4 linked regions of the Drosophila melanogaster genome follow. The gene in region 1 interacts genetically with each later gene. Each region holds a gene or a part of one and is shown on either strand. Other genes may lie near its edges.

Region 1 (10,170 bases):
TCTCAATTCAATGCCTATCTGATTTGAGTATTTCTTCACAGTTCCCAAAGCTACCGCCAGTCGCACTTCAACCGGCTGGTCAACAGTGCGGCCACCAGTCCCGAAGTCACACCCCGCAGCGAGATTGTCACATTGCGCAAGGAGCAGCAGCTGCAACGTCAACAACCCCCACCAATGGAGGTCAAGCATCTTTCCTTGGAGCAGCAAATCCGAAATCTGCGCGACGTGCAGAAAAAGGTGGACTTGGACGTGGAGGAAGAGGAGGAGGAGGAGGAGGAGGAACAGCAGGCGGAGGAAAGTCAATCCGAGTCGGAGCCGCAGAACGAGGAGCAACAGCATTACGAACAGCAAATGCAGGTCCAACGCAAACATCTCCAGGTGCGCAAGGTTCGCAGTGAGATTAAGTATGTGGAAAACAATCCCAAGGAGGCAGCCAAAAAGAATCGCGAGTCCAAGTCGGACCATGAGTTTGCCAACGAGAGAGATGTGAGTAGTATCCACAATATAAATTAACCAGTACTAGCAATTTATTCTCCTGTACGATAACCCATCTTATCCCCACAGTTCAAGCTTAATCCCTCTGTTCAATTCGAGACGGACATTGGCGACAATGTGATGGTCAATCCTGGCCACCGATACGAGGGCGGCGGGGGCGATACGGCCTATGTCTACAACTATGAGCATGAGCAGCAGCAGCAGCCAGTCAAGCGGGGCTACGAGCACGGCTATGTGGTGGGCGTGGGTGACGGATCCCACAGGAGGCAGAGGCAATCTCAACTGGTCGAGGCTTTGGTGCAAAAACGTGTCCCAGGCGCCAGCGATGGACATGTGGCGCAGTTCGTTAGCAATCTGGAACGACAAGCGAATGCTGGTAAAACGGGGAAAAAGCGCCTTAAACCTCGGCCTGAGGACGATCTTCAGGTACCAGTCGGCGACATGCACATGGAGTCGTCGTATATGTCCCGCTCCGAAGAACTCTCCTCAACGGACGTTACGCTGGAGAACTCAGACTACGAGACGGAGGCGACGGACTCCACGTTACTTAGTAGCTCGAAATACTCCTCCATGCATGTCTTTGTGCGGCGCAAGCAATCGGAGTCCATGTCACTCACAGAAGAGGCCGGCGACGGAGATGCCGGCGGTGGTGGAGGCTCTGGCGATTTCGGCGACCAAAATGTCATATCCCCGGCCAATGTCTACATGTCCCTGCAGCTCCAGAAGCAGCGGGAGCAGAGCGCCTAGGGGTCGTGACTTTAGGTTCCTCCATTCAAAATCCCCGCAGCCATTCGCAGCCGGAGCAGCGACACCACAGCTGGCTGATACGCCGAGCAGTAACAACAACAACACCACTACCACCACCATCACACCCACAACAAAGCAGCCAACTCGATTCGATAGGATCCCCACTGGGAGAGCTAAATTTGCAGTCATACTCCCGGGCAGTAGCAGTAGAAAAGGGAACCTGCTCCTTTTTGCACGTCCTGCCATCTGCGAATTCAAGCTGCACCAAAAATGTACAAAAATATACTTTGGTCTTACTAATTTCCATTAAAGATTTATTATTTGTGTGCTCCCTAAGCGAGTTTGTTGGACCTTATTTTCGGATGATTAACCGCCCCAAGTCAAAATGCACATATGCATGATATTGAGTTCTCTATGTGATATCTTTTGATTTATTTAGTCCGTATATTGTGAAATTATAAAATATTTGCGTTCGGTTAAGTTTGCGTTGAATACTACTGATTAAGATTCAATTGGATCAAGTATTTTGAATGTAGTTAAGTTAACTCCATGGTTATTTATTATGTGGAGGTTAGAGGGCGTGCTTAACCGCCAAATCCGTAAAGGGTGCGTCCCTGGCGCTTGAGGGCATAGACCACGTCCATGGCGGTCACGGTCTTGCGCTTGGCGTGCTCGGTGTAGGTGACAGCGTCACGGATAACGTTCTCAAGGAATACCTGTGAATTTTCCGAGAAATTAATCAGTTTTTCACCACTTTCCCTTCGTTTCGCCAGAACGTACCTTTAGCACACCGCGAGTTTCCTCGTAAATCAAGCCAGAGATACGCTTAACACCGCCGCGACGAGCCAAACGGCGAATAGCAGGCTTGGTGATACCCTGGATGTTATCACGAAGCACCTTACGATGACGCTTGGCGCCCCCCTTTCCCAATCCTTTGCCTCCCTTTCCACGACCAGTCATTTCTCAGTTGCTTCGTAAAGTTGGCTGAAAAGAAGAGAAGACGCAATAAACTGTAAAGCGACGCCATGTTTGGTGAAAGGTAAACGTTCATTTGACAGGTGAAAACTGTTGTTAATAAGTCTGTTTTCATACAAAATAATGGTCTCCAATTATTTTTTTTATGTTTATGCACAAAAAAACTTTGTTGACCGATTCTTCTATTATTTACTTAAATTTCTCAGCAACAAAACTCACTTCAAGAAATCTCCAGAAAATTGCTTGTGAGCGTGACCAGATCTCGCACACCTCAAAATACCTTTCGCAAAATGCGCGTATCTAGTATTTCTATTGTCTCACTACCAGCCCTGGTCAGTTATCGCCTATCGGCCATCGCTATCGCCGCCCCGTTGCGACAAAAAAGATTTAATCGAACCGAAAGACGTGCTCGCACTAAAATCGCTTGAAAACAGGCCCGCAGACCTGCGAAAAACGAAAAAGTGCAGCGCGCATATACTTTTTCAACTGTGCCCCTCTAGCTTAAAATTAAGTCGCGGCGAAAAGTCGAGTAAAACCCGCGGAAATGCGCATGCAAACGGCGTGTGGCCAGCAAAATCGCTGCCAAGGCACCGCACACACACTCGGCCACCCACACATACACACTTAGTGCTGTACTCGAAAAGTGCGAAGACAACAGGAACTCTGTGCCAAAATAATATTAACAGTACCCAGTTATTCCATTCCACTGCACCTGTCCCCGAAACATCGAAATATTCGCGTTACGTATACGCAACGAGTGCTGTAAACAAGTTTGCACAGGCGATAACAATGTCCAAATACGATCTGCTTTATCTAACGGCGCAGCTAACGCTGGGTATGTATTGCACTGCGAGTGTGTGGGTGCATACTTATTGGCGCCTTAATTCCCAGTCGCTTTATTATGTACATATGTACATAATATTATATTTTGTCTCTGCCTTACGATTTTCCTCTGTAATGCAAGCCGACTTCGATTTATAACCATTCGTGCGTGTGATTTTTGATGATATGGGGTGCGTAATGCTATTACTTTATTAATATCACATGGCGCTTGAAAAGTTCATATATAGGGTGTATAGGCTTTGTGATAGCTTTGTCCTATTAACCAACACATCAGAACATCTTAAATTTTCAGAAATTAGGTATAACGAATGTAAATGCTAGGAATCAAATCTATTTGTGAAGTGAATAATGTATACACTAGATACTCTATTAAAGCACCAACAATTGTACTACACAAATGTAGTAAAATATCGTAAGAATTGTTGACAGTGGGTACTACGAATTCATATGTTGAGCGCCAAACGCATACTCGGTATAAATCGATCGGATACCTAATTCCCAATCTTAATCCATGTGTGTGTGCGCTGAGCATTTCTTTGAATGGATTTTGCTGCATTAGGAACTTGTTGTATGGCAGGTTCTGGTTTCTCCCACCCTTTTGCTCCACCGGCCTCCCTCTCTTTCGCTCGCCATAGCCCTCTCTCTTTCTGTGGCGCAGTGCGCTCTCTTCCCTGTTGCTGCTGTTGTTGTTGTTGTTTCTGCTGCTGCTGTTTCCTTTTTCCGCACAAGCGCCACTTTAAACCCATCCCTTTCTGTGTGCATAATGTGCCTGCTTATGTATCTACTTTACTATAAAGCATGCACGCTTACGAACACACACATACATGGCCAGCGATCCGATTACCTAAAGGACAGTGGGACGAAAAGTGTTTCAAAGGATTGAAAACAGTTTGCTTAGCCAATGGTCAAGAAATATCAATCAATATATCGCAGGCTCGTTGCAATAAACGTTTTCAAAATTAAATTTTTTGTATTTACACATTTAAAAAGTGAATTATCATTTTAATTTTTATCAACAAAAATTTCGGTATTTGGATGAGGATCCCAGATTAAATCGAATTAAAGAATGTAAATAGATTTTCAAGAAACCTTACTGCAGGCCCACTGTGCACTGCATATCCGTGCATTGGGGCCATGCCCACTCAAAGGCTGGTGTGTGGCCAGTGGGGCTAATTCCGTGCCCAAATGGGGTGGCTTTCAATGGCAGAGGCCCCAGCTTAGGACGCTACTCCTGCTACTTCTGGGCATGCGATATGTGTACAAAGGATAGCGCCCACAAAGAGCTCGCTGAGCGCCCTCCCTTTCAGTCTTATTCCCCAAATAGGCTCGACTTTATTTGCCCACCCTTTGAGCACTTCCAACCGATAATTCCATTAACTTTGATCTTTAACTACGTTTTAACTTTTTGAAAGTCTTTACTCATGTTTTAGGACTGCTCAAATATATACTTTAAATATAGATCAGTGCTAATCTAAAACTAGAAAGATTATTAATCTATTTTCCCATTGTCTTCATTTAGTCTGCTGTCTGATTGGAATCCATGGATCTATTTTGCCCGGAAGTCATGGGATCATAGAATGCGAGCACTTCGACGAGAAGATGTGCAACACAACGCAGCAATGTGAAACACGGATAGAGCACTGTAAGATGGAGGCGGATAAGTTTCCCAGCTGCTATGTCCTTTGGTCGGTCAACGAGACAACGGGTGAGCCGTGCAGAAGTTGACGTTGTTTCAGGCATACTGATTAATTTTAATTTTTCCGTTCCCATAGGCATCCTGCGCATCAAGATGAAGGGCTGCTTCACGGACATGCACGAATGCAATCAGACGGAGTGCGTGACCAGTGCAGAGCCACGGCAGGGAAACATTCACTTCTGCTGCTGCAAGGGATCGCGGTGCAATTCCAACCAGAAATATATTAAAAGCACCACGGAGGCAACCACACAAGGTGGGTTCGGATCCGGTTTCGGATTCAGATTCGGTTTAACGTTTGCTGCTACTGGGGTTTTGTCTTTGGAGTGTTTACCCCAATTTTGTTATTTTTCCGTTTGCATATATTTTTTGTTTGTTTTTGTTATTTCGTTTTTTTTTTTTTTTTTTGTATTTTTACTGCATCTTCAAGTTGCAAAAAGAGGGCGTAGGCTTCGCCTACAAAATACCACTCCTCGCATCCGAGGCAGCGTTTTTCGTGTTAACGAACTCTTGACGCGAAGTGGCGCCCGCTCCCCCATCATTTTCTACATCCCCAGCCTCCAGCAACCCCTTTTCGGAGCCGCATGTGTTGCAATTTCTGCCCTCCTGTGCACGTTCGCTGGTTCGTTTTTATTTTTATAGTAAGGTACTTCTTTAGCGATCGGGTATAATGCGTTCGCTTTAAAGGATGCAACTGAAAGAGGTAGTTATTTGGTATAAATCCAATTTATTTCACTCCGATTATGAAGGCTTAATAGGATTAGACTCTACCTATTTTGAATGATACTTAATTGGCTTGCAGCCTTAACCCACAACGAGGAGAGTATCTGTTATCTAATACCAGGTATACAAGTGTCGAGTGACTTCATTCTAGCATCCTTTCTTGTTTTTATTTTTGGGGTGTTGCTGCTGCCTTTGACTTCGAAGCCCTGTGCTGCCAGGGCGTCTTTTGTGCCCTGCTCTTTGTTGTTTTGTTCTTGGGCCTAGCTCGCTTTTATCTCGAAACAAAATGAGGGGAAAAAGAGATGCGAAATTGGGGGCGAACTTTCGTTTTTTAGTTTTCGTTTTGCCTTTCATAGCAACCCCAGCAGCTGCAGGTGCATGCCGCCACTCGAGATGTTGTTCACCTGTGGCAAGGCAGCGTTTAAAGCCCTCTTTAATGTTCGTTCCCGTGTGTGTCCTTGTATCGTTGCAGTGCCCAAGGAGAAGACGCAGGACGGCAGCAATTTGATATACATCTACATTGGCACCTCCGTTTTCAGCGTGCTCATGGTCATTGTTGGCATGGGCCTTCTTCTCTACCGACGCCGCAAGCAGGCGCACTTTAACGAGATACCCACGGTACGTACATATCCTTGTGATGTTGCCGCAAATATATAATTTTAATTATGCAAAATTAAACCCTTTAGCACGAGGCTGAGATAACAAACTCATCGCCATTGCTCAGCAACCGTCCCATTCAGCTGCTGGAACAGAAGGCCAGTGGTAGATTCGGTGATGTGTGGCAAGCCAAGCTCAACAATCAGGATGTGGCCGTCAAGATCTTTCGCATGCAGGAAAAAGAATCGTGGACCACGGAGCACGATATCTACAAGCTGCCGCGCATGCGCCATCCGAACATCCTCGAATTCCTGGGCGTTGAGAAGCACATGGACAAGCCGGAATATTGGCTGATATCCACCTACCAGCATAACGGATCACTATGCGACTACCTCAAATCGCACACGATCTCATGGCCAGAGTTGTGCCGCATCGCTGAGTCCATGGCCAATGGACTGGCACATCTGCACGAGGAGATCCCGGCATCAAAGACCGATGGGCTAAAACCATCGATAGCTCACCGAGACTTCAAGTCTAAGAACGTACTGCTTAAGAGCGATCTGACGGCCTGTATAGCTGACTTTGGTTTGGCCATGATATTCCAGCCAGGCAAGCCCTGCGGCGATACACACGGTCAAGTAGGCACTCGACGTTACATGGCCCCAGAGGTGCTTGAGGGTGCCATCAATTTCAATAGAGACGCTTTCTTACGCATAGACGTCTACGCATGCGGCCTAGTCCTCTGGGAAATGGTGTCACGGTGTGACTTTGCCGGACCCGTCGGTGAGTTCCAGCTGCCTTTTGAGGCCGAGCTGGGCCTGAGGCCGTCGCTGGACGAAGTTCAGGAGAGTGTGGTAATGAAGAAGCTGCGCCCTCGTTTGCTCAACTCCTGGCGCGCCCATCCGGTGAGTGTGACTTCTGATAATGCTTTTAGTCAATGAAAATAACTTGTAACTTTTTTACAGGGACTTAATGTATTCTGCGACACAATGGAGGAGTGCTGGGATCACGACGCTGAGGCTCGTCTTAGCTCTTCGTGTGTGATGGAACGCTTTGCGCAGCTAAACAAGTATCCCTCAACCCAGTTGCTAATCAAGAACCACACCAACATTGACGACGCCAAGGAATCTACGAATTGCTTATAGAAGCGGTACTAAGCCACAGACCAGCCAGCGGATCTGTGGCTCTGCAAAAAAATCAGTTGAAGCTTTTTGCTTCGTAGTGGATAGTTGATCGTCGAGGTCGTAAGACGTTTCGTTTTTAGTTTAATAGTTTGTAGTACCATTATAAGCAGCTATAGAATGGGTTGATTTATACGAAAGAAGTCGTGTAAGATGTAACTTTTCCTAAGGGAAAAGCCAAAAGCTTAACATGCCAACGATTCTTTGTTATTATTTTCTTTAAATTATAAATCGACTCATTCGATGTTAACCCGAGTTCTTAAATCTGTTGGAAATGAGTGGAAACGTACACTAAGCAACTTTGAACAAAGAGCATTAGCTATGTCCAGAGACGTGGTAGTTGCTAATCCGACATTGACTTCATTGACTGATAACCATATATAGTTCTATATAAATCATACATATAACGTACAATTTGTTTTGCCCTCTGGCAGTAGCCTGTGTGCATATGTAAACTGTTGAAAATTATCGTCAAGCCTTTTAAAGTATAATTTTATTTGTACGTTATCGAATGTCTTCATATAGTAGTAGTTTTATATTTAAAGTTATTTTCAAAATAGATTTAACAATTTTAGTTTACTTTTTAGTTGTAACGTTTTTATTTCGCGCTCAAACGTGCATGCGTTTTAATGTTGTATTTTAAATAAAAATACTTTAAACTCCATCCTAACCATCTGATTTTTTATTATTTTGTCTGTTTTATATTTCTGCTTTTGATTTTTATTTTTTTATTTCCAAAACGTAGTGCCAATGACCCTCAGAAATCGCGTAAGCATAATAAATGTGTAATTATGTAATTGTATTCTAATTCTACTGGACAGTACAAGCAACACCTGAAGTTTTCAAAGGAAAGTTTCTTTTTAACAAGAATCTAACTTAAGCGCATATACATAAATTATAAAATATAAACTATACTCTTTATATATACACACAACACATACACGCATAGGCATACGGAACACACGCAGTCTAGCAGGTTTATATGAAGCACACGCTGCGACTCATCGTCAGCATAAAATCTAAACAAAAAAAAAATCAAAGTTAATATTCAACCCAAGAGGTATGCACACACTGTAAGAAATTAGAGCTAAACACAATGAGTAAGTATGTTAAACATTGTTAAACGGATAGTATGTCTTATAATGTTAGCCAAACAAGGTGTATGTCGAGCTATAGTTATTTAAGCTATAGTTTAATTAAGAGAGTCTTGGCGGAATGTATTATCTTTCGGGTTATTTGAAACTTTTTTGCGCAGCATCAGTTCTTATCAATGGCTAAGCATCTGAAATACTTCTGGATTATCAGTTAAGATATCAACTAAACACGATACACAACACAGAACAAAACGAAACAAACAAAGCTTCATTACCTGATTTTTTTGAGCAACTTACAACAAAAATAGTTTATTACGCAAACAAACAAAAACCAAACGACATAATCTTAATAATAGAACGAATTTTGTTATGCTGTATTTAATTTGTATATTTTCCATTGGTGCTGAAACATCATTACGACGAACATAATGATAATGAAGATAATAAGAAACGAATTCAAAAACAACCAGTATTTAAAGAGCGAAGGAATAAACAATTAATATTTAATCATAGTAGTTTGTTACATATCAGATTGCTAAATGGGATAGAGGAAGATAATATAAATCGATCATTTCAAAAAGATTTGCAGAGAAATTTTTATAGCATTATACAAGGCAATAACAAGCCAACAGCAATTTTGGTATATTTTTTAATGCATTTCATAAGTAAAACCAAAACGAGTTTATAAACAGTAAATTCATAAGAAAATCTTTTTAAAACACCCCATTTTCGAATATCATCAGCAAAGTTTTATAAAAACCAATATGCGAAAAACATATACGAGATGATAGCAAGTCGTGTTAAGAAGTTTACGATTAAAAAACGATCTTTGATAATAACGGATTTAAAATAAAAATGCAACTGTTTAATAAACAATTCATCACCGGTTTTTCCTTAATAAAAATCGACTCTATTCCAGCTTTCTTGCCACTTTTATTACAATTGTCTTCCGTAAACATTCAGACCTTCTGGATTATATAATTCAACAATACAGATAGGAAAACTTAGCCAAGAGCTACACATATCAGATACAAATATTTATATGAATAATATTAAATATACGGTTTATTACTGGGGGAGTTTTTAGAGTTATGTCCCTGATTAACTTATACAACGAAATCGAACGAATATATAGACTCTAGTACAGGCTTAATTGATACAAAATATATATATTTACAATCTTCTACGTAGTTTGTGACATTGGACCATTTCAGTTGTAGTTCTACGATCGTTCGTTCCATCCTCCGTCTGTTTTATAGACATATCAGACTTATCCTTGGCTTCGTAACTCTCATTCTTCTATATCCTGGGGAAAAAATCGATCTCTATCAAATGCAAAAATGTAAAGCATTCCAAGTCCTGTGCGTTCTGAATGGGTGTCTTACTAAAATATATACTTGTAAATCTATGTAAATCTATATTGATTCGGTTTCGCATTCCGTGTGTGTGTATAATCACCTAATCCTTAGCCATTCTCAGCTTACTGTATCGAGTATATCTTTATTGGGTTCTAGGCTTAACATGTACAATATATAATAGTATAAATAGGTATTAATGTATATATAAGTACTTATTGAGTTTGTACGATATGTTTGTCCTAGGGAGAAAACTTTGCAAGTGAAGATACAAGATACGAGATACGAGAGTATGCAGTTAGGGACGGTTTCTAGGTTCGTAAAGCGATCGCACTAGTGGAAAAACTAGCCGGGCAAAGGGTGGAGTGTGTTTATATAAATAGTTATACAAGAATATATAGATGCCCCTGTGCAGCGGGCAAGAAATCAAACATCATTCTGTAAGCAAATCGTCAGCACTATCCACA
Region 2 (6,793 bases), 2.2 Mb from region 1:
GTATCAACGATTCCTTTCCTGTAGCATCGAAGAAGCCGAGGAGCAAAGGCCGTTTGGCGCATCTAAGTGAAGCTGAGCTTCTTAGCATGGTGCCGGACAATCTGGCAGGCGTGATTCCCAGATCGTCTAGGACCCGCCACCAGCTTGCTCAGTCGCCGCTCACACCAACACCACTACCACCACCGCCGCCGCCGCCGGGTGTTTAGGTTACCCCCATCCGGACGGACGCTGGCTAACCCGCGCGCCAATCCGTTTTTCATTCTTGATTTGAATTGCCGCCCGCCCGCCCGCCTCATTGTGTACATTGTCATTAAGCAAATTCAACGCCATCTCTGTATTATATCTGGCCAATCGGAATTTTTTAGTTTTCAAAGCTAAAGCCACAACCCCATCATCCCGCCACAACCCAACCCGCCCCGAGCTCCAAATGGATCATCCTTCGCATTGCAATGCAAATTTAGATTCGGTTTTTACATTACGCTCTAACAAATCGTGTACATTTCCTCCGAAAATAAAAAGTGCTACGTAACATTTGTTTTAGGGATACGATAATCGTAACGCTGCACTTTATTTCCAAACGCACTTAGTTGATCTCGCAGGGATCGTCCTTGCCGCTGAAGTGGGCGCATGTGATCTTGGGTCCGTTGTGTACCCTGGGTATGGCGATCCGGAAGAGCGTTCCATGCGGCATGCACACGCAAATCTTGTACTGCACACTGCCCGTGCGGAGACCCAGCTCGGAGCTGACGATGGGAATGCGGTCCATGTCCAGAAAGATACCCGTGCCTGCCTCCAGGATGGTGGCGCCCTGCGTGGAGTTGATGAGAATGTGGTGCTCGGCCTGCATGTCAACGCTGGCTCCGTCGAAGTAGACGCCCTCGGATCCCCTGATGGCCATGCGTCCGTCGCTCTCCAGCACCAGGGACTCGTCGATGGGACTGACGATGCCGCTGGCACTAACCACTTTGGCCTGCAGCGCCTCCACTCCGCCCGGAATGTTATACTGCGGACGATGGGTGGTGAAAATCGGCTGCTTGTCGACGGGGTCCTTGACCTCGAACAAGTTCGTGGCCTGCACGAGGATACCCTCCCTGTTCAGGACGATCCTATCGCGTTCGCTGGCTGCTCCATTGCCATTGCGGAAGACGCGCACATGGACGCCGCCCTCGCCGTCACCAGCATCACTGCTGATGGTCACCGGGACATCCGAGAAGCCGTGTATCTGGCCAATCGAGTTCGTCTGCACGCGCTCCAAGTCCGTGGTACCGTAGAACTTCACCAAATCCACCTCGGGTATCACCTCCATGCCCTGGACACCTTTGCCCAGGCGAAGCACACCCACAATGGTGAGCGTCAGCAGAAGATTGCCAACGGTCAGCACCAGCAGCAACACCACAATGGTCCAGAAGGCGAACGTGTTGCGTCCCTGGTGACCCGGATGCAGGCGGGAGCAGCTGTCGCTGTTGTACTTCTCATCGAAGTAATCGCCCGTATCCGTTTTCGAGTCGTCGCGACAAAAGTCCAAGTCCGGCACAACTCCTCCAATGGGCAGCGTCACAGAGAGCGCGTTCTCCGAGTTGGCGTCGTCGGAATATGACGGCGATGGTCCACGGATGAAGGTGTTCTCGAATGTGTGCATCATTGGATTGAATTGAATTCCTGGCGAGTTGAACTCAAAAAACCGTTTGCACAATTGCTGTATTCAGTGCAAGGAAATTGGGCATGTACATGTGAGAGATTCAATTGTTGGACATGCGCAGTGCGTTCTCAGCCGCAAGTTTCGAAAAATCCGATATATTCGAATTTTGAATACTTTCGAAATATGAAAAAGTGGTTTCCAAATTATCTTTACAACGAGAAAGTCAATTTTCAAAAGTTAATATAACATTTTCAACTGCTAGAACTCAGTTACCAATATATATTTTTTAATGGAGAGCAGAACAAAAAAAAAACAATCAATTAAATGTAAAACACTGGTTTTCATAATCCATTTAAACTTTCAAAAATTGAATTTTAAAAGTGTAACCATAAAAAGTCAATTGGAACCGAACCAGTTCCGTATGATTGCAGCACGCAGCCCTGGCTTCAAGGGGGCTTGACTTTGGCATTTTTCGAAGTTGCGCCCACAGCCACACCGCACATCTCCATTTTGCAAAGATGTCCTTTAAGGTGAGCTTTTGTCCAAAAACTGATTGCCATTGGCTAAACAAGAGTCTCCCGCAATGACACAGCCCATTGACCCGAAGCGCGACGAGATCCGGCGCTATCTAGAGCGCGGCAGCGTCCTGGACTCGCTGACCAAGCTCTTCATACGCGTGATCAAGGAGCGGCCCGAGAATCCCATGGACTACATCCGTAACCACATCGGCGTGGTGCGCCACCAGCACGACAAGTACGAGCGCCTGCAGCAGGATCTGCAGCTGGCCAACGAGGAGATCCAGCGTCTGCGCGCCATCATCAACGGCATCAATCCCGACGTGCTCCAGGGTCATCAGCCAGTGGCTTCAAGTGAAGTAGTGGTCGCAACGGAGGCGCCACAGACCGTGGCCGAGTCCACTGAGGCGGCGGAGCAGCAGCAGCAGCAGCAGCAGCAGGAGAACGGCGAGACTGAGCTGGAGAAACCTAACGAAAGTTCGGCGGACGTTGCGGAGATAACTGCCGCTGTGGAGGCCTGCCAGATTGAGGGGAACTCGGTGGTGACCACCGATGAAGCCGCACAGCCAAGCCCAACCGTCCAAGCTGAAGCCAGTGGCTCCAGTGAGTAGATCTCAGATGACAGCAGCACGTGCCAGCACACACCAAACGTAAAAACAAAAACATCCCATTTAGAACGCATTCATTTAGAAGAAATGTTAAGTATTTTCCGGAATTTACATGTAAATAAAGCGAAATAAAGCATGAGCGCATGCAGCGTATTATGGATTTTTCAAATGTGTTTATTGAAATCAGTTTCATAATTCATACACGTTTTATATCATTTGTTTATTAATACAAAGGATTATTGATAATACATATTAATAATAGTTAATTTTTAAAAAACACATCCTTAAAATGACGGGAAGCGGACGTTTGAATAGCTGATGAATGGTAAGGAGTTTTAGGGACAAACTAATATATTTCGCTGATTTTCTTGCAGATATTTCTCTGGCTGGCTGGCTGGCTGGTCCATTCGGTCGGACTGCATTGTGGACGAACAAAAAAAAAACTGATTCAAGGTCGAAACTTAGTGCTTATAATTCCTCTTTATACTTCTTGGCAAGCATTCGCCTCCACCTCCTCGGTTCAACGATTTCCCCTCTTCGATTTTTTGTTTCTTGTTTTGTTTTCACTTGCTCTATACTCTTAAGGCCAACGAGCACTACAGGGCCCCCACATCTGTATGCTTTGTGACCGACTGGCGTCCAGTCGCTCCTCTGCTGCTCCGTTTCCATCTAATCTGCATGGTTATGCGCTTGGTGCTCTGCTCGAACGGTCAGTTGATTAACCTAGTGTTTAAATTTTGGACAAAACCTATAAAAGCGCTGGTGTTCAAATGTGTGTACATGTGTGTGCGTGGGTGAATGGTTGGTCGGTCGGTAGATATACATATATATATATATATACGGGGGCTATTACAAATAAATATGTGGCTTTTAATCATGGTATTTGTCAATGTGTTTGTAATTGCGATTTAAATCTCAATGGGTGTGGGGTGGAAGGGGAAAACTGCAGTCATCTGCTGGAAGGGATGTCTCTGGGGATGTCCTTTGATCGTGGCGCTGCTATTCCATACCAAATTAATGGTGCAATTTCTTGTGGATTTCGACTCGCCCCGGCTGCCGATGATAAAAGTGACCAAAAACAGAGATAAGGTTGGGGTGAGAGTGTGATTCACTAGTTTGTTACTCTGCGTCAGCAGCCCATACTTACGTTTCATGCATCATTTGATGTGTTGTTTCAAAGGATTTTATTTCTGGTTGATTGTGTGGTTGGGTTTGTGGTTGTTTTTGTCGTGTTTATCTTTTGTATCTTGTTTGGATTTCTTATTGATCTGTTTTAGATAGAAAAAGACTGCTCGTGGTGCTGCAGTTGTGTGATATTACTTTTTACGCTTGTCGGCTGGCTTGAGGATTTGGAACGAGCACATCAGCGTATCGTCCACGGACATCATGGCGCCGGCATTGTCGAACTCGCCGCAGTAGTTGGGCGCCGAGAACAGGGTGACCAGCATGCGTTTGGCAAAGAACTCGTACCCATCCTCGACGACTTGATGGGCTCGGCAGATGAGATCGAACTCGTGCTTCTGCAAAAACTTGGCCACCACCTCGGCACCGAAGGTGAAGCTAACGCCGCGGTCGTTTTCGCCCCAGCCCATGGTATCCTTATCGGGATCGGACCACAGGAGATCGCACAGCAGTCCCTGGTCGGGCACATCGGTTGGCCGCATAATGCGACGGATCTGCTCCATGGAGGTCAAATCGGGACTGAGACCACCGTGGCAGCAGAAGATCTTCTCGTCGACAATGGCCGCCACTGGCAGGCAGTTGAAGCAGTCCGTGAATGTCTTCCACAACTTGATGCTGTAGCGACGCTTGCATTCGTCGTAGAATCCGTATATGCGATTAATGCTGGCGCATTCGTGGTTGCCGCGCAGCAGGAAGAAATTCTCCGAGTATTTGATCTTGTAGGCGAGCAGCAGGCAGATCGTCTCCAGCGATTGCTTGCCGCGATCGACGTAGTCGCCGAGGAACAGGTAATTCGATTCCGGCGGAAAGCCGCCGTACTCGAACAGACGCAACAGATCGTAGTACTGTCCATGGATGTCGCCGCAGATCTTCAACGGTGCCTCTAGCTCGAGCAGAATGGGCTGCGACAGGAAGATCTCGCGCGACTTCAAGCAAAGTCCCCGGATCTCGCCCTCCGAGAGCTGTACGTTTTTACCTGGCCGTGCCCCACGCACCTCGAGAAGTCGCGATATTATGCTGTCGATATTCATCACGTCGCCCATGTTTGCGTGCGAAAGTGTGGATCTGGTGCACTAGTGCTGCTGTTGGGTGTCGAGGTTACCGCGAACGATCGTTGGTAGCGCCGAAATAGCCTCGAAATCTTTAATTTCCGAAATCTATTTCTGCTAAATACTTTTCACAGCTAACAAGTATGAAAATTTCTTCGTATGCTGTTGCGTGAGTGCGGGCGGGATGGCGAGTGTGCTTCTAGCTGATGTTGCCACACTGCCGGAAGTCGCGGATATGGCCAGATAATAGACGCCATCTTATCTAATCGATAACATGCAAATATAGTGCATAATCGATAACGAAGTTGCTGTAATATTACTCTTATTACATTAAGGACATTTCCAATCCATTGCAAGAGTTCCGCAATAGCTCTACTTTTATATTTTCATTCGAAACGGGTCTTCTCGACCCTATAGTGGCTCGAAACTGCTGTTAGTAATCGATTAAACGCATGGCGTCCAGTTACTCTATTTCAGCGGTGTGGCAGCCTGATCAGGGGGACACTAGCCATCCCGCTTGCACTCAGGCACGCCTGGCATGACTTACTGTGGAAAAGAGATGGGAGACTGATGCATTTGGCGAGGCTATTCGATATACCGGTAACAAGGGGATATTTAAATACATTGGAAATTCAAATAAGCCAATAAGAATATTCGTTTACAGAACATAGGTTAATTCATTTTCCTTATTGGAATAACTTCCACATGAGTTATGATTTAAAATGCCAAATTTCCCTTAAATTCTCACAAAACTAAATAATATATTGATAGATATATTAACAATCACACTATGTAAAAATTTTGTATGAAATGTGCTCATGTCTTGTTATCGATAATTCGATACTCTATGCATTTCCTGCCTACGCCCGCTAATCATTTAATTAACTGTTAAATAGGCGGGTTTCAATTTAATCAAAATGCTGTTAAACGATATCATAAGCGGAAAATTAGTTGATTCCGTCTATATTATAGCGGAAATTGGCCAAAATCACCAAGGTTGTGTGGAAACAGCGAAGAAAATGATATGGGAGGCCAAAAAAGCCGGTTGCCACTGCGTCAAGTTTCAAAAATCGGATTTGCCAGCAAAGTTTACGAGATCCGCTCTAGATCGCGAATATATCAGTGATCACGCCTGGGGAAAAACGTACGGGGAGCACAAGGAGTACCTGGAGTTCTCCAAAGATCAGTATCTCCAGCTGCAGGCCCACTGCAAGGAGTTAAATGTGGACTTTACGGCTTCCGCCATGGATGAGGTTGATATTAATTAATTGTTAACCAATTACTACTACTAACAATTCCTTTTTTCCCTTGTTTCTTGCTTAAATAGTTATTAATGTGTGTATATGCTATTTTAAACAGAGATCGTTGGAGTTCCTTTCTGCTCTAAATGTTCCCTTCATCAAAATTGGTTCCGGAGACGCAAACAACTTTCCGCTTCTCAAAAAGGCCGCCAATTTGAACTTGCCCCTGGTGATCTCCACCGGAATGCAGACTATGCAAACTGTGGAGAGGATTGTGCAAACTATGCGGGAGTCAGGAAAAGAGGACTACGCTCTAATGCACTGCGTTTCATCGTACCCAACTGACCCAAAAGATTGCAGCTTGCAGTTGATATCCGTCTTAAGGACACGCTTTCCCAATGTGGCAATTGGGTACTCGGGTCATGAGCTGGGAGTGATCATTAGCCAGGCCGCCGTCTTGCTGGGAGCACGCATAGTGGAGCGCCACTTTACGCTGGACAAGAGTCAGAAGGGCTCCGATCATCGCTGCTCCCTAGAGCCGCAAGAATTAAAAGCTCTG
Region 3 (6,331 bases), on another chromosome or scaffold:
CGCCTCTGCACGAAAGAACACATACATGCCTATGTCTGTTGAATAGTTATATTAGTTTTAGTCGAAGATGTCAAGCCATTTAGTAATATCGATCTATTTTAGTAATGTGTGTCTGTCTTGAAACCTAGTTTATACGAATGGGGAATCGCCGCGTTTATTTATGTATAGGTAACTTTGTAAATCAGATTTAATAAATTAAACCCATTTGAAGCGAAACGCTCACAGGCTGCTCTTTATCATTAACCTCCATGTGGAAAGAATGAGAGAAAGTCTACTACCTTTTTCCTATTTTCAGGCAACATCCTCATCATTTTACCCACCTACTACCACATTGTCAAGCTGAACTACATGATCCTGAGCCACTGCCTCACTGGCAGCCTGCAGGAGTGCTCCATATTCCTGCTGTACGATAACATGAGGAATGACTACCTCCAGGCGTTGGTCAATGCCAGCGATGAGACGGTGAAGGTGGTTCTGGCCACGGATATTATCGAATCGCTCTGCCTGAAGGTGCCGTTCAAGTACCAAATAGACACCGCCTGCCGGCTGAACAATGTTTACGATACCACGAGCTGCAGCGGCGATGATCGCTTCGAATGGGTGGCCAAGGACGCTCTTCTGCGAAGGGAGCTAATCCTTCAGCCCAATAGTAAGTACATAGCTCGTCATACATTGTTAACACTAACTGATGCACTGCGTTTTCCGTAGAAGGGGATGTACAATGCTTCCGTCTGATAAGCAAGGAGGCCTACGAGGAGCTAAGCGAGACCAGTCAGCCAAGCCTGCAGACTATGCAACTGGACAAGATCTGCCTGGCGGTGAAACTACTCTCACCCAATACGATTATAAGCGAATATCTGGGTATTACCATCTCACCGCCACCGCTGATCAACGTGCACCATGCCGTGCAGTTCCTCAAGAAAATAGATGTGCTCGATGACGCCGAGGATGTGACCTGGCTGGGCTGCCGCCTGATGGACATCCCGGTCTCCTGTCAACTCGGCCGCATGCTGATCTTCGGCATCCTGCTGCGCTGCCTGGATCCAATACTCACGATTGTCAGCTCTCTGTCGACGGCGGACCCGTTGGGCATTCCGTTTACCGAGGACATCGACAACTTGTGGGACAGGTTCACCATCTACATCCAGAACAGCATCAAGAAAGAGCGGACCTACCTGTCCGACAATCAGTTTTCCGATCACTTCATCTTCGTGCGCTTGTACAAGGAGTGGCAAAACCGAATGCACAACAGGACGCCGCCGCTATACCTTAAGGATGAGTATGAATTCATGCTGAATGGCCTGATGGAGCAACTCACCTCCATTCGTTCCGAGATCGTGAGCTCCTTGCGGGCAGCCAATTTGATTCACAGCCGAGGTAAGCTGTCGATGAACAATCTCAACCAGATGTCCTGCAATTGGCACATGGTTAAGGCGGCCCTCACGGGCGGAATGTATCCCAACATCTATGCCGTGGACACTAGAAAGAGTTCGCTAAAGTCGGCCTTCTCCGGGAACGTTTCCATGCATCCGAACACCGTGCTCCGCGATTTCTTGGAGCCACTGAATATTTCGGCACAGAGCTTCCGCACACCGTGGATTGTGTGCAACAGGCAGAAGAGCCACATTGTTTACGCCACCCTGGTCGTTCCTCTGGCTGTTGCCATGTTCTCGGGTAAGCTCGAATGAATTTCATGTTATATCATTCTGGTTATCATTCATTTTGTATTAATTAGGACATCCACGGATTCGCCTCTCCCCGATCTGCGACAGTGAAATGAGTTTGACCGATCGCAACGTGAACGTCTTTATAGACGAATGGATCTGGATGGTTATGTCCAAGGCTACGGCGGAGATGGTGATGCGCACGCGGTATTACTTCTTTAAAATGTACCACGACTTGCTGAAGCACTGCAGCGAGCTGGACATGTGGCGCCGAGACTGCGAGCCAGTTTCCCAATACACCGTGCTGACTGATACGCTATCGAAGATCTTCGAGAGTGAGGATGGATTCGTGGGCTTCTTCAAGCCTCCGCCCATAACCTTTCTACCGACGCCCCAGCTGCCATCCTTGTACCTCCTGTCCGTTAACGCCCACTTCAGTTGGGCCCGGGAAGTGGAGGAGAACATGCTGTCGAAACCACACCATTTCAATTCGCACTTCATCGAGAGGCAGTTCTTCGTGCTCTACGCAGGCGGCGACTGCGAGGAGTTCCACAGCAGGAACACGCCAGCCTTTATTGAAAGTGTCCTCGGCAAGTTTGTCAGACCCATCGACACGCCCAACCGGCACATCTTTGTGATCCTGTATAGAAAGGATCCCGATATGATGCTCAGCATTAGTCGAGCCAAATTCGTCAATGGTGTATTTATGTTGCAGGAATACTTCCGAAACAACATTCCGGTGTTTGAAATCTTGTAAGTGCAATCCAAGTTGCGGAGAATACTCCAGTCTAATGTGCTCTCCTTTCAGAGATGCGTGTGTGTCGTTGAATGTGCAGACACCGGTGTTTGATGGCCGCCTGATGTCGGCGCTAATTGACAAGCGTGTCGGCAACTTGATTATGGAATTGTTTGCCTTCCGCCACCACTGGATTCACAAGCGATAAAGCCCGCTTCCTCGCGCATATTGCCTGCTTCCCTACTAATTGAGTCCTAAAATAATTAAGAATGATCCAAAGAAGCGTGCCGAAGTCCAAATAGGACTTGATTGTGCCTTTTATTGCTGTGAAATGACTGTTAATTTTAAATGAGAGCTAACCAGAATCAAAATACGTACTTTTAGTACCACATTGCGTCTATCATCGTTGTTTTGAAATATTTGAAATTTGTGCATCCCAATCATGAGTAGATGTGAGACAATAAAGAAGAAGTATCTTTTAATACTAGCCACAAATGAAACTCCTCAAGAGACGAACTTCAGTTAGGTACAGCGCTGTATATTTTTGTATAAAAATATTCGAGATTAGTACAGAGATGGACATCTACACAGAAATGCTTTATATATATAGTGCTATAGTGCTTAGCCTAAGTGGTAAATTGAATTCAATGGCACCCGCAGGATTTCACAATCATGTTTCTATACTTTTTCAGGTTCACATTCTCGTCGTTCAGGTGGTACAGAACGGGTAGTGCTCCCAGCCTGGTCGGAGCGCAGCAGGGCTTGGGCACCTTCTTCGGCTCCAGCAGGTGGACCAGGGTCTGGACGATCGCATGGTTCGTGGCGTTCATGTGCGCATTGAGCGGGAAATTGCACTCGCCGCTGCAGTAGAAGGCGCCATAGCCCTCTGGTGCGATGATCCAGTCATGCCAGCCCAGATCCTTGAAGTCTATGTACAGGGTCTGCATCTGGCAGCTGCGCGTGCTCTCCATCGGTTCCAGCAGCGGCACGTTGTTGGGCGACACCGACTTCTTGCGCTTGCGTGGATGGCTGGCGCTTCGCTTGCTCCTGTGGTGGCTGCTGTGGGCCGTCGCCTTGATCAGCTCCGGTCCGCGGAAGAAGCCGATCATGAAGGGCTGGAACTCGTCGTCCACCTTGCGGTGGATCAGTCCAATGTCGTCCAGCTTCACCTCGCGGTCGGGTCGGTTGACAGCGTGTGCTCCAATGTAGATGCCATGATTGTCCTTCGACTTGACCAGCCACTCGTGCAGGCCCTCGGTCACGTTGAGCTCCAACCAGCCCACGTAGTCCCCGGTGGTGTTCACCGAGGACAGCGGCTCCATGGTGTGCTGGCCCAGCGTGCCGGTGCCAATGGCGTATACCGTGATGGTGAACTCCCTGTTGGCGGTCAGCCACTTGCCCTCGTTGGCGTTCTGATAGATGCGCAGCTCGGCCATCACCAGGTAGTTGTCGTTGGGCACGTTGGAGACGTCGAACCACAGGCGACGGCCGTGCTCGTGACGCAGTTCGTCCACATTGTGGTGGCGCTTGTTCAGGAAGGTCATGATGATGTCGCTCTCGTCGATGGCCCGCTTGTCCAGGTCGGTGATGAAGTTCTTCTGCTGCTCGCCCTCATCCTCCTCGAGGTCGGCGCTCCTCCTGGACCGATGGCCGCGTTCGTAGTCGTCGTCCTCATCCTGATCGCTGAGACCCTCCTCCGCCGTGATGCGGTGGTAGACGTCCAGCAGGAACTTGGGAGCCGACTTCCTCAGCGACAACTGGTGGCTGCTCAGGTGCGTCGGCCGTTCGGCGATGCCCAGGAACTCGAGGATCTCGTACGAGACGTCCAGCTTGTCGTCCTCGCTCAGCACTCTGTGCATGATCGTCTGGTCCTTGCCGTTGTCTATGTAAATCCCCGACTGGGTGGCCTCAACGGCCGGCGGCGTGGTCGCCACGAACATGAGCAGAACCATTCCGAGTCCCAGGGAGGCGAGCACTGCAACGGCCTCCGAGGTGTTTCGCAGTCCCGACATTATTTCGTGTTTTGGACGGATCGGTTGCGATCGCTGTTTTTCTATATCTACGGCGCTATCCACTTGCGATAGCTTCAGATGTACAGTGGCATTTAGTTGTTTATTTCGAGAGTTCCAGCGAACCGCGGGTTCTGAAAATTCTGACGCACTTACGGATTGTTGTGTGTATCTTAATCTTCAAGATGCATTTTCTTTCTATTTCGCGGGAGTTGGCAGTCCCGCGACTTGGAAAATGAATCGGTCTTGAAGATCGAACTAGAAGATCCAACATAGTAGTTCATTTCAGCTGCGATCGTGAGCAAATATGTGGTTTAATAGCTTCAAAAAAAAAAAGAAGAAACTGTGTAAATGTAGAAAATATAACGTTTATATTGGCAAAGTTCGTAATATTTTGATATTTTAAACTATTTATGGAAGTGGTATTGACGAAAGATTTGTAATTATGAATTTGTTAAATTTATCATAGTCCGGGCATAATTTGAAATATAATATAGGTAATGCTATTAAAAAATATTAATTAATATATATACATAGTTCATATTCAAAAGGAAACAGATCGATTTAAACATTCGGTATGCGATATACATAGGATACATTTTTATCGAAGATAAAATCGACCATCAATCGATATCCGATAGGTGGCCATGTTTTGCCCTTGCATCGCATCCCTCGCATCATCATCCGCATTCTGCATTCCTCATTCCGTTTCGGCGTCGCGGCGAGATAACGCGCGTTGTTTATTTGGTTTTAGTTTTAAGTTAGCGCGTTTTTACCCACCGCCGGTGTCGCCCAAATAATGCTAGACACAGCCTAGTGCAACGGTAAGCGGGATGCGTGCGGTGCAATTGGAGTACATGGAGTCTAACATCCGCTCAAATCCACTGCAGGCAAACCATCATCAATCACTCAAACCGCCACACAAGCAGAGACCGAAACGGAGCCATGGGCCGCAGCCGAAGTCCCGCCTCGCCGGCGCACAGGAGACGCGAGAAGGAGCGATCCGAGCGGAAGAAGCGCAGGGAGCGCCGTTCCCGGGAGCGGGAGGCCATCGGAGTAGCGCCAGCCGGAGGATCCGGATCTGGAGGCGCCGGTCGCCGCGACCGGGAACGGGATCGCGACCGCAGTCGCAGCCGAGATCGGGAGCGGGAACGGGAGCGCGACCGTGCGCGGAGTCGGCGATCTAGGTGAATAAGAAAGTGTAGTGTACCAAATGCCAACCACGATAAGTATAAAACTAGTCACTAAAATCGGGGATGTGGGTCACAGTTCAGGGGCGTGCTGGATAACCGTGAAATGGGGTTTAAATAGCAACCAATATTTATAAGTTTAGGATAAGCTTAGGGAGTGTTTGTGTAGATTTAGGAACACATTCCAACACAGGGGACAATTGACCCCTCAAACCCCCGAAATCGCCGTTCAGAACTTGTTTATTTACCCACGAGTATCGATAGACCCACACTTCGATAGGCAGCCAATCGATGGCTATGCAGCTCTGGCGTCCCAACATCAAAAAAAAATTACCACGTGAAGCGAAATTGTGCGAATTTCATCACGACATTTAAATTGATTTCCGGACATATAAACAGAATCCAGAACTCATCCGGCAGCAGGCTCAGTCAGGCCAGTAAATCCGAAAAGAGAGTAACCAGCAGGAAAAGAGGATCCACGTAAATACAGAGAAAATGGCTCTACGCGTCCAATTCGAGAACAACGACGACATCGGCGTCTTCACTAAACTAACCAACACATACTGCCTGGTGGCCATCGGTGGATCCGAGACCTTCTACAGCGCCTTCGAGGCGGAGCTGGGCGACACCATCCCGGTGGTGCATGCGAATGTGGGCGGCTGCCGGATCATCGGCCGCCTCACCGTGGGCAACCGCAACGGCCTGCTGGTGCCCAACTCCACCACCGACGAG
Region 4 (7,202 bases), on another chromosome or scaffold:
ATTGTACTTTACTTTTCTACTTTTCTTTAACAATTAAGATCCTTTTTTCCCAGTGTACGCAAACGATAGGTGGTGGTGTAAGGGGGGTATAGTGGGTGGCGAGGGGGCACACACTCATCACGGCCATTGACAAGTAGCTGTCAGGCAGAAGGGTCAAGGGGGGAAATTCGAGCGAGCTAAACCGACGAACGAGCATCAGGAGCACTTTTTGACACAAGTAACTGGGCTGGCACCCTTGCCCAGGGTCAAGGGGATGGATGTGAGGGATGGGATGGTTGGTGGTGGATGGCGGCAGGGGGTTTTGGCTCACGCATCACAATGTGGCAAATCAGGCACAAAAATCCAATATCCTGCAATGAAATACAATTACACGGTGCACACAATTCGATTTGGCCCGGCCAGAGTTACTTATCATTTTAGATTTTCCAAAATAATTGCCACAAATCGGAATGTGATTGAGGTTGACTGTGTCGAGGGTCATGCGTGACTTTTCTCGCAGTGTAGGGCCCCTGCAATTATTGTTACATGATGAAGTGCTATCGATGTCTGTTTCGTTTGACTGATTCTCAGATTCGATGGAAAAACGAGCAGCCCTCGAGGGGCGGCAGGTGTGTGTGTGCGTGAGTATCTGTGTAAGTGAGAGTATCTGTGCGCGTAGCATGTGCGACTGTGTGCGGGGGCATGGAATTTTCAAGACCCTGTTACTGCAAGTGCCGCCCAGGTCTTTTAAAATATAAGAAGACGAGGCTGGCATTCAAATCTCTGCCCCCAGCTCGATGACTTCACACATTCCACAGCGAACGAGAGGGGTGTGGGATCGAAGAACTTCCTTGAAAACCCCCGTCTAAGCCAAGTGAAGAACTTAAACGTCGAACCAGTTTTTGGTGAATGAAAAGCCAGCAAGCCCAAAGTTGCACACAAACTCCAAACTCAAAGCAGAAGAAACCCGAAGCGAAGTACCAGAAAAGGGGGGCCCCCACTGAAAAGGGGCAGCCTGGCAGCTAAAATATAATAAAAAGAAATTAAAATAAAATTCAAAAATGTGCAAAACGAGACCGAGAACGAGAAATGCTGCATGCCAGTCTTCGGGCATGAGGGAGCGGTACTGGAGAAGAATCTCCGTGGAACCTGTTGGACCAGTCACACACACAGGCAGGCACACCAACAACCGAATGCCACCAACGTGTTTGTGCCAGGATAAAAGGCAAGCCGGGTCGCTCCATGGGTATATATATCCATCTCTTTTCGACCCGCTCCGGAGGATTTCAAGTGTAAAACGCTGTCGCTTGTGGAATGCGCGCACACACACAAACACAAGCGGATACAACTGCATAGATAGCCCAACATTTGGCCATATTTTGCTGCACTAAATCAAGCGTTTAAACGAAATTCGAGTTGGGCCAACAAGCCAACGAGCCGAGCTAAAAGCGTTCATATTTTCCCGATCGCCAAAAAGAAGCACCATAATTTATAGATGCCGTTTGACTAAATTCGTTTAATTCCAGTCCTACCTTTACCCACACACCTATATAATATATATGCCTACGGTTTACCTGTGCGATACAAAAATAAGGAGGAAAAAAAAACGGAAAATAAGGCGAGAGAGCGAGAAGTAAAAGGGTTTTGGTTTTGGTTTCGGTTTCGGTTTCTTTGGGACCTTCGCTCTCATCGATCGTTCCGTAGTGTACATTATAATTTATAACTTTATCTAAACGATGTGGTGGTGTTTAATTTTCGACCTCACCTTTTCCAGCTCGTTTTTGTTTTTTGTTGCCGTTTCGCCATCCCATCACCATCATCATCATCATCATCATCACGGTTGTTTCTGATGTGGATTCGTTTCATTGGAGAACTGTTTCCGCTTCGCATGACTCACTTTTCGCTGTTTGCCCCGGGGTCTTGAGTCTTCTCCTTTTTTTTTTCTTATTTTTTGGGAGGTCTTTCTTTATCGCACACTAATTTGAATAGGATTCCATTTCGTGATGAACATATCACCGGGAACGGAAAACATCCATGGGGGGTGGGAGGGCGTTTGCGCCCAGCTGGACGCCCGCAACTGACCACCATGAAGTTCCCGCTGCCCTGGCTATATAGTATCTTGTTAATGAAGAAATAGATACACAGACGCCCCGAGACGCCTAGGTATTTAAGATCGAGGTCGGTGCCCGCGGGGTGACGAGTGAAAGTCCGGGGAGAAGAGGCTGGTGTGTTCGGGTCGTGCATTGTCTGCCACACCGCTGCAGCCTCAAGACAATCGCTTCGTTTTCGCAAATTGCAAAGGGAAAAAATTAACAAAAGAAAAGAAATGAAGAAAAAAAAACAAACGATACCACCACACGTGCTGTGCGAGGTCATGACACGGCTATCAATTTGAACAGAAACATTTAGCCCTAGGGAAATAGCTGCCAAGCATCTGAGACTCTTCAAAGGCGTGAAATCTGAGCCTGCTCCACGGGTTCATCAAGCCGATCGTAAAACATAGCCTATGAAATAAAATTAGAACTCATTCAGACATCAATTAGAACCGAGCATGCAAATTTCAACCAGCGGCATCGATAAAAGCCCGGATTAAAAGCCACCGGAGCACCCGAGAAGACCACTGTGAGATGGATTGATTTACGTTGAATATGCAAATTGCAGCGAGCCAACGTTGAAAGCTTTTAGAAGAGCATTTCGAGAATTTGAATAAATATTTAGGCCCATCGGACACAGAGAAAAATAATCAGAATCAAGCCAGCTCCTGTGGCAGATGACACGGCCAGGGAAAACTCGAAGTTGGTCCTGAAGAATGCCGGAACCCATAAATAAATGCGAATCACTATTGAAATATATAAAACGAAAACAGGATATGTGTCATATCAAATTTTATGGAACTACGTAGATTCATTGGCTGTCGAAATCGTTTGGCAATCATCGAAGAGAATAGATATCTTACGAAAGCTAAGCTTGCGTTACTAACTTTAATTTCCCCTTTTACTCATACTACATGCTGTTAATAAATACAACATCTTATAAATTGTGGTTGGGCATTCCTTAATTAAAATACTTTATAATATCTAATAAGCATTACAAAGTTTGTGGTTTAGTTCGAAGCTCGTTTTCCAAAACTCTAAAGACTCAAATTAATTAATTCATTTCAGATTGCGCCCTTGTATTACTCATGTATTCTCGGCGTTAACCTGTGAATTAAATTGAGTTCGCATAAACACCTCTATTCATTGCACCACTGTGCCAACATCTGTGCTCGCCGTTCTCTTTTGTTCGAAAGAGAGCGTTCGGATGGTTCTCTTAGCGCCGATTGTCGAGTGCCGAGTGTGGTTCGTGTTCGCATCGTTAAAGTTGTAGCACTCAGGGCGGATGTTTGATTTCGATGGCAAAGTCAATCTGTTCGGGTTTCTCGTCGTGGAAGGTTCGTTGCGCGCGCGGAAAAACTGAAAATATCGGTGCGAAATTCGAGCGGAAAAACGCTAGAAAAGAAGGCGAGTGCATTTCCTCGACCTGAGAACGCCGGTGGCCAAGGAGCTTTGCAATTAAATCTATTTTCGCCGACCTAAGTACACAAAACGTAGGAGAAAATTAAAAAGAAGAAAAAAAAAACAAATCTAATCGCTGGCAAATCAATTGCTAAGGAATTGAGTACTATTCGTTGTTATGTCATGGAAAGTCTCTGAATAAGTTAAGAAAATACTTGTGAGAAATTTAGCGACCTTTCAAAACTAGAAAGTAGAAAAGCAAAAAGTGCTAGACACGCGCTCTCTCTTCGACCACCACCCACCACCACCCACTATCGCCATCCCACGTTTACTACCACGTTTATTGCTCACGCGTGTTTTTGGGGCCTTTTGTTTTGTGCGCTCGTGTTTGTGGCCGTGTGTGCCAGTGTGTGTGTGTGCGTGTTAGCCGGCAAGTGCATTTGTGTGAGTGTGTGTGTTTGTTGCCGCGAACAGCTGTTCACCCAGACAGCATGCAGAAGTAAATACGAAGAAGTGCTGCAAAATAGAGTAAATAAAATAACCGGCTAAAATAAAAATAAGAGAAGCATTCAAAGGCAAATCAAATTTAGCCCCATCATCCACTGTGTCTGCACACAGAAATCACCCATCAAAAATGGCGGCCAGGAGCGTGCGGCTAGCGCAGCTTTTGCTATTTACCCTGCTCTGCGGCTTCGTCGGCCTGTCAGCCGCCAAGCACCTGGACCTGGATGGTATCCACCACCACCAGCACCACCTGCACAGCGCCACCACGCACCACAGACGTCGCCTACAGCGGGACTCGCGGGCGAAGGACGCCGTTGGGGGATCGACCCACCAGTGTGATGCCGTCAAGAGCTACTTCGAATCGATCGACATCAAGTCGAGTGGGACTTACAGCGAAAAAGGTAAAGTTCACGCCATCCATCCGTAGAGTTATAATATCGAGTATGCACTTGGACATGCGGGCTGGGGAAGAAGCGGGGAACGATGGAGGAAGTTAAAGCTACCAATATGGTTAAGGCCCCTTAGGAGCAAACGTACTAACTTTAAACTATGCAGAGGAAAACGTATGTTATTTCCCCAGGTCACTAGAGTGGTTCGAATACTTAAAGTCTAAGTTATCTACTCCATTAAATAAGAAAGAGGTACATAAATTGGGATTATTGATAATGGTTTTTCAATTTAATTACTTTTGCATCCTCTCCGTTTAAAAACATTTCTTTTGCGGGAAATTCATTGCCTTGATTTCAGAGTTTGTCTTAACCCTCGCCTCGCCATCAGTCTTCCATACTTCAACCAAGTAAATCGCGCGTCAGCCAAAGTTTTTGCCATCCCGCAGCTGCAGTTTCTCTTATTTCTAGTCCGTTCTAGACCCCATCCGCTTCTCAATCCCCGCCAGAAACTAGAAGCATATGCAAATTCATTGAACTGAGTGAAACCCTCGAGCGGGCAGCCACTCGAGGCGAACTATGACCACTCGAACAGCCGGGCGCCGTTTGCAATTAGAAGATTGCGCATTGAGCAACGCCTCGGAAAAGTTTTCGACGTGCCGTGGATAAAGTTTTTGGCCGCGCCAGGTTCATTACATATCGGATCTGGCACCTCGCAGATGCAGAGATACATAGATACACAGGCGGCGGCATCATTTGTTATTCTGATTTCTCGACACTGCCATATCAAGTGGCACGCATCTGAGGCCAAACTGTGTGAAGGCTATGGAAGGTATATTTATATTTACCACAGCCGATATCCACAAGATACTCGACATATTTTTGTTTATGCATATTTCATACCCGAAGTCAAAAATAAGACCGAATAACCAAATAATGCAATACAATCCGATAATATCAGTCGAAAACGAGCGAATGTACCCAATATATATCTGTTTCGTGTAATTGAGTGAAAAATAATTATTATTGATTAGCCGACCTTGACTTGGTATTTACGCGTTTACGCACAATTACATGATACACAGCCGCAAACTCGACTGGAATACAAATGTATCTGGCGATGATGTTGCAACTTTTCCCTCCAATGCTTACCTGTCTGCAGAGGTTCTCGGTTCTCTTTGCTCATTCTGTTCAGTCGTTCCCACACGCAGGTAGTTAACGCCAAGAAGAACTATCTATGAGATACATTGCTGAGCAGACCGCATTGCCATGGCATCAAAGTGTGAAGAACCGAATAGCCAACCGAGAGTTGGCGTTACAAGTGCATGTTTGTGTGTCCCAGAGACTTATCCACCTGAATGCCAGAATGCCCAATTGAACTGGTAGCTGGAAGTTATTAGCGCTGGCTTTGAGGAATTTCAATTTGGCTAATGCCAGGCGGCGTATCTCCGATCAGCACCTATGTATGTATCTCTGTATCTCTGGTCGTTGCTCCTGCTTAAGTATGCCGAACCTTGTTTTCGACATTTATTTACTGTTTACATAGTTCCACTTGCGCCTGCCTCCGCCTCCGTAGAATTTATGCCCCGCCAATGTATCTATGTATATCTGTTAATGTATCTGTATCCGTACAGTACGTATCCGTATCTCCATCTATATCTCTTTCTGTTTGCTCTGGAGTGTGTTACTTTTACGTTTATGTGCTGTTTGTGATGCTAATCTCTCGTCGGTGCCATGCATACGATATGTTTCTCCCGATTTGCTTTTGCCGTGCAGTTCCCGGTAGAGGCGCTCGGCATAAAACTAAATTTTAATTTAATTGCGCACACCACTCGACTGCTAATTGAGTTGGCTTTGCTTTTGGGCCAAAAAAAAAAAACAGTATTACTCCGTGCCTATTAAAATGAACATTAACATTGGCGCGTTACAAAGACGCACAGGAAGTCGTAGCTGCAGTATCTAATCGTATCGCACAGTATCTGTATCTGTTTACCTGCAAGTATCTGTAGTATCTGTATCTATGCTTAAGGCATAGCAGTTCCAATGCCCCCGACCGTGTTACTAAATATTTAAGCAACTCGCAACAGAAATTAGAGCAAGCCATGAGATATGAGCCCATGTATCCGCGTATCTCCTCCGCCGGCAAGTGTTTGTGTGCCGCCTGGCTAGATAAGTGAAAAGTGCAAATAGAGAAGGCAAAGGCAAACGTGACTCGTTTGGAGCGGGGAAAACTGCTTAGCAGACAACTTTTCAAACGGATTCCATTTCCCTGACATGTACGTAGGTATGCATACCTGCAGTTTGGGTGCGTGGGCCTACGCTTATGCTTTTGCCATCAAAGGAGCTCATCCTCGAGTAAAAATTTTAATTAACTAGAGAACTGCGCATATGCCCCAATCCCATACCCAAATCATTAGTGGTTAGAGGAAGAGCAGCACAGCTCACTATCGCTCGGCACTGCCAATTAAAAGTTGAAGTTCCATTCCATGTGAGATGGCAAATGGCATAGAACTCCACTTAAGGCTTAACTGCCAACATAAATGTGCCAAATTTCGACTAAGCGAAATTCGTCAAAAAGTAGCAAAACCCATCAAGCTGAACCAAAAACGATCCATAACACTTATGTCGCGACGATCGTAAAGATCGTCAGCCAAATTCCGATTGCCCGAAACTCGTTTTGTATTTTGTTTTATTCATGAGATACACGTTTTATCCGGAATATCTGGTGGATAATTAAATATTTATTTCTGTTCCAGTTGCAGTCTGAGCTACCCTTTTACTCGATGCCCACCTCCATTCAAGCTTAGAACACAACACTCTCATCCCAAACTTATCTCAT

The links.
Region 2: of put (region 1) and Pp1-87B, changing one enhances a phenotype caused by changing the other (phenotypic enhancement), as found in Drosophila melanogaster (2 studies listed by BioGRID).
Region 3: of put (region 1) and gbb, changing one suppresses a phenotype caused by changing the other (phenotypic suppression), as found in Drosophila melanogaster (one study listed by BioGRID).
Region 4: of put (region 1) and dally, changing one enhances a phenotype caused by changing the other (phenotypic enhancement), as found in Drosophila melanogaster (one study listed by BioGRID).

Annotation. Positions count from the first base shown.
Region 1 is NT_033777.3:14,618,082-14,628,251, reverse strand, and holds put (punt), read left to right. Parts: upstream 1-2,548; 5' UTR 2,549-3,006; coding exon 3,007-3,052; intron 3,053-4,579; coding exon 4,580-4,765; intron 4,766-4,832; coding exon 4,833-5,009; intron 5,010-5,948; coding exon 5,949-6,094; intron 6,095-6,162; coding exon 6,163-6,978; intron 6,979-7,038; coding exon 7,039-7,218; coding exon of another isoform or gene 7,219-7,230; 3' UTR 7,231-9,222; downstream 9,223-10,170. Other genes in the region: CG7886 (uncharacterized protein), read left to right, coding at 42-486, 565-1,242; His4r (histone H4 replacement), read right to left, coding at 1,827-1,958, 2,023-2,202.
Region 2 is NT_033777.3:12,420,702-12,427,494, forward strand, and holds Pp1-87B (protein phosphatase 1 at 87B), read right to left. Parts: upstream 5,217-6,793; 5' UTR 4,988-5,216; coding exon 4,079-4,987; 3' UTR 3,910-4,078; intron 3,816-3,909; 3' UTR 2,920-3,815; downstream 1-2,919. Other genes in the region: pps (protein partner of snf), read left to right, coding at 25-206; Scgbeta (sarcoglycan beta), read right to left, coding at 584-1,642; CG17202 (uncharacterized protein), read left to right, coding at 2,158-2,169, 2,232-2,765; NANS (N-acetylneuraminic acid synthase), read left to right, coding at 5,911-6,246, 6,353-6,793. UniProt on the Drosophila melanogaster protein: Is essential for the regulation of mitotic chromosomal segregation as well as regulation of chromatin condensation during interphase.
Region 3 is NT_033778.4:23,849,836-23,856,166, reverse strand, and holds gbb (glass bottom boat), read right to left. Parts: upstream 4,606-6,331; 5' UTR 4,413-4,605; coding exon 3,045-4,412; 3' UTR 2,920-3,044; downstream 1-2,919. Other genes in the region: bgcn (benign gonial cell neoplasm), read left to right, coding at 296-649, 709-1,674, 1,736-2,417, 2,473-2,608; eIF6 (eukaryotic translation initiation factor 6), read left to right, coding at 6,095-6,331; ytr (yantar), read left to right, coding at 5,355-5,596. UniProt on the Drosophila melanogaster protein: Required for the growth of imaginal tissues and for patterning of the adult wing.
Region 4 is NT_037436.4:8,824,126-8,831,327, forward strand, and holds the start of dally (division abnormally delayed), read left to right. Parts: upstream 1-3,379; 5' UTR 3,380-4,107; coding exon 4,108-4,378; intron 4,379-7,202. UniProt on the Drosophila melanogaster protein: Cell surface proteoglycan that bears heparan sulfate. Functions as a coreceptor for growth factors and morphogens, such as the products of dpp, to regulate signaling and distribution of these ligands.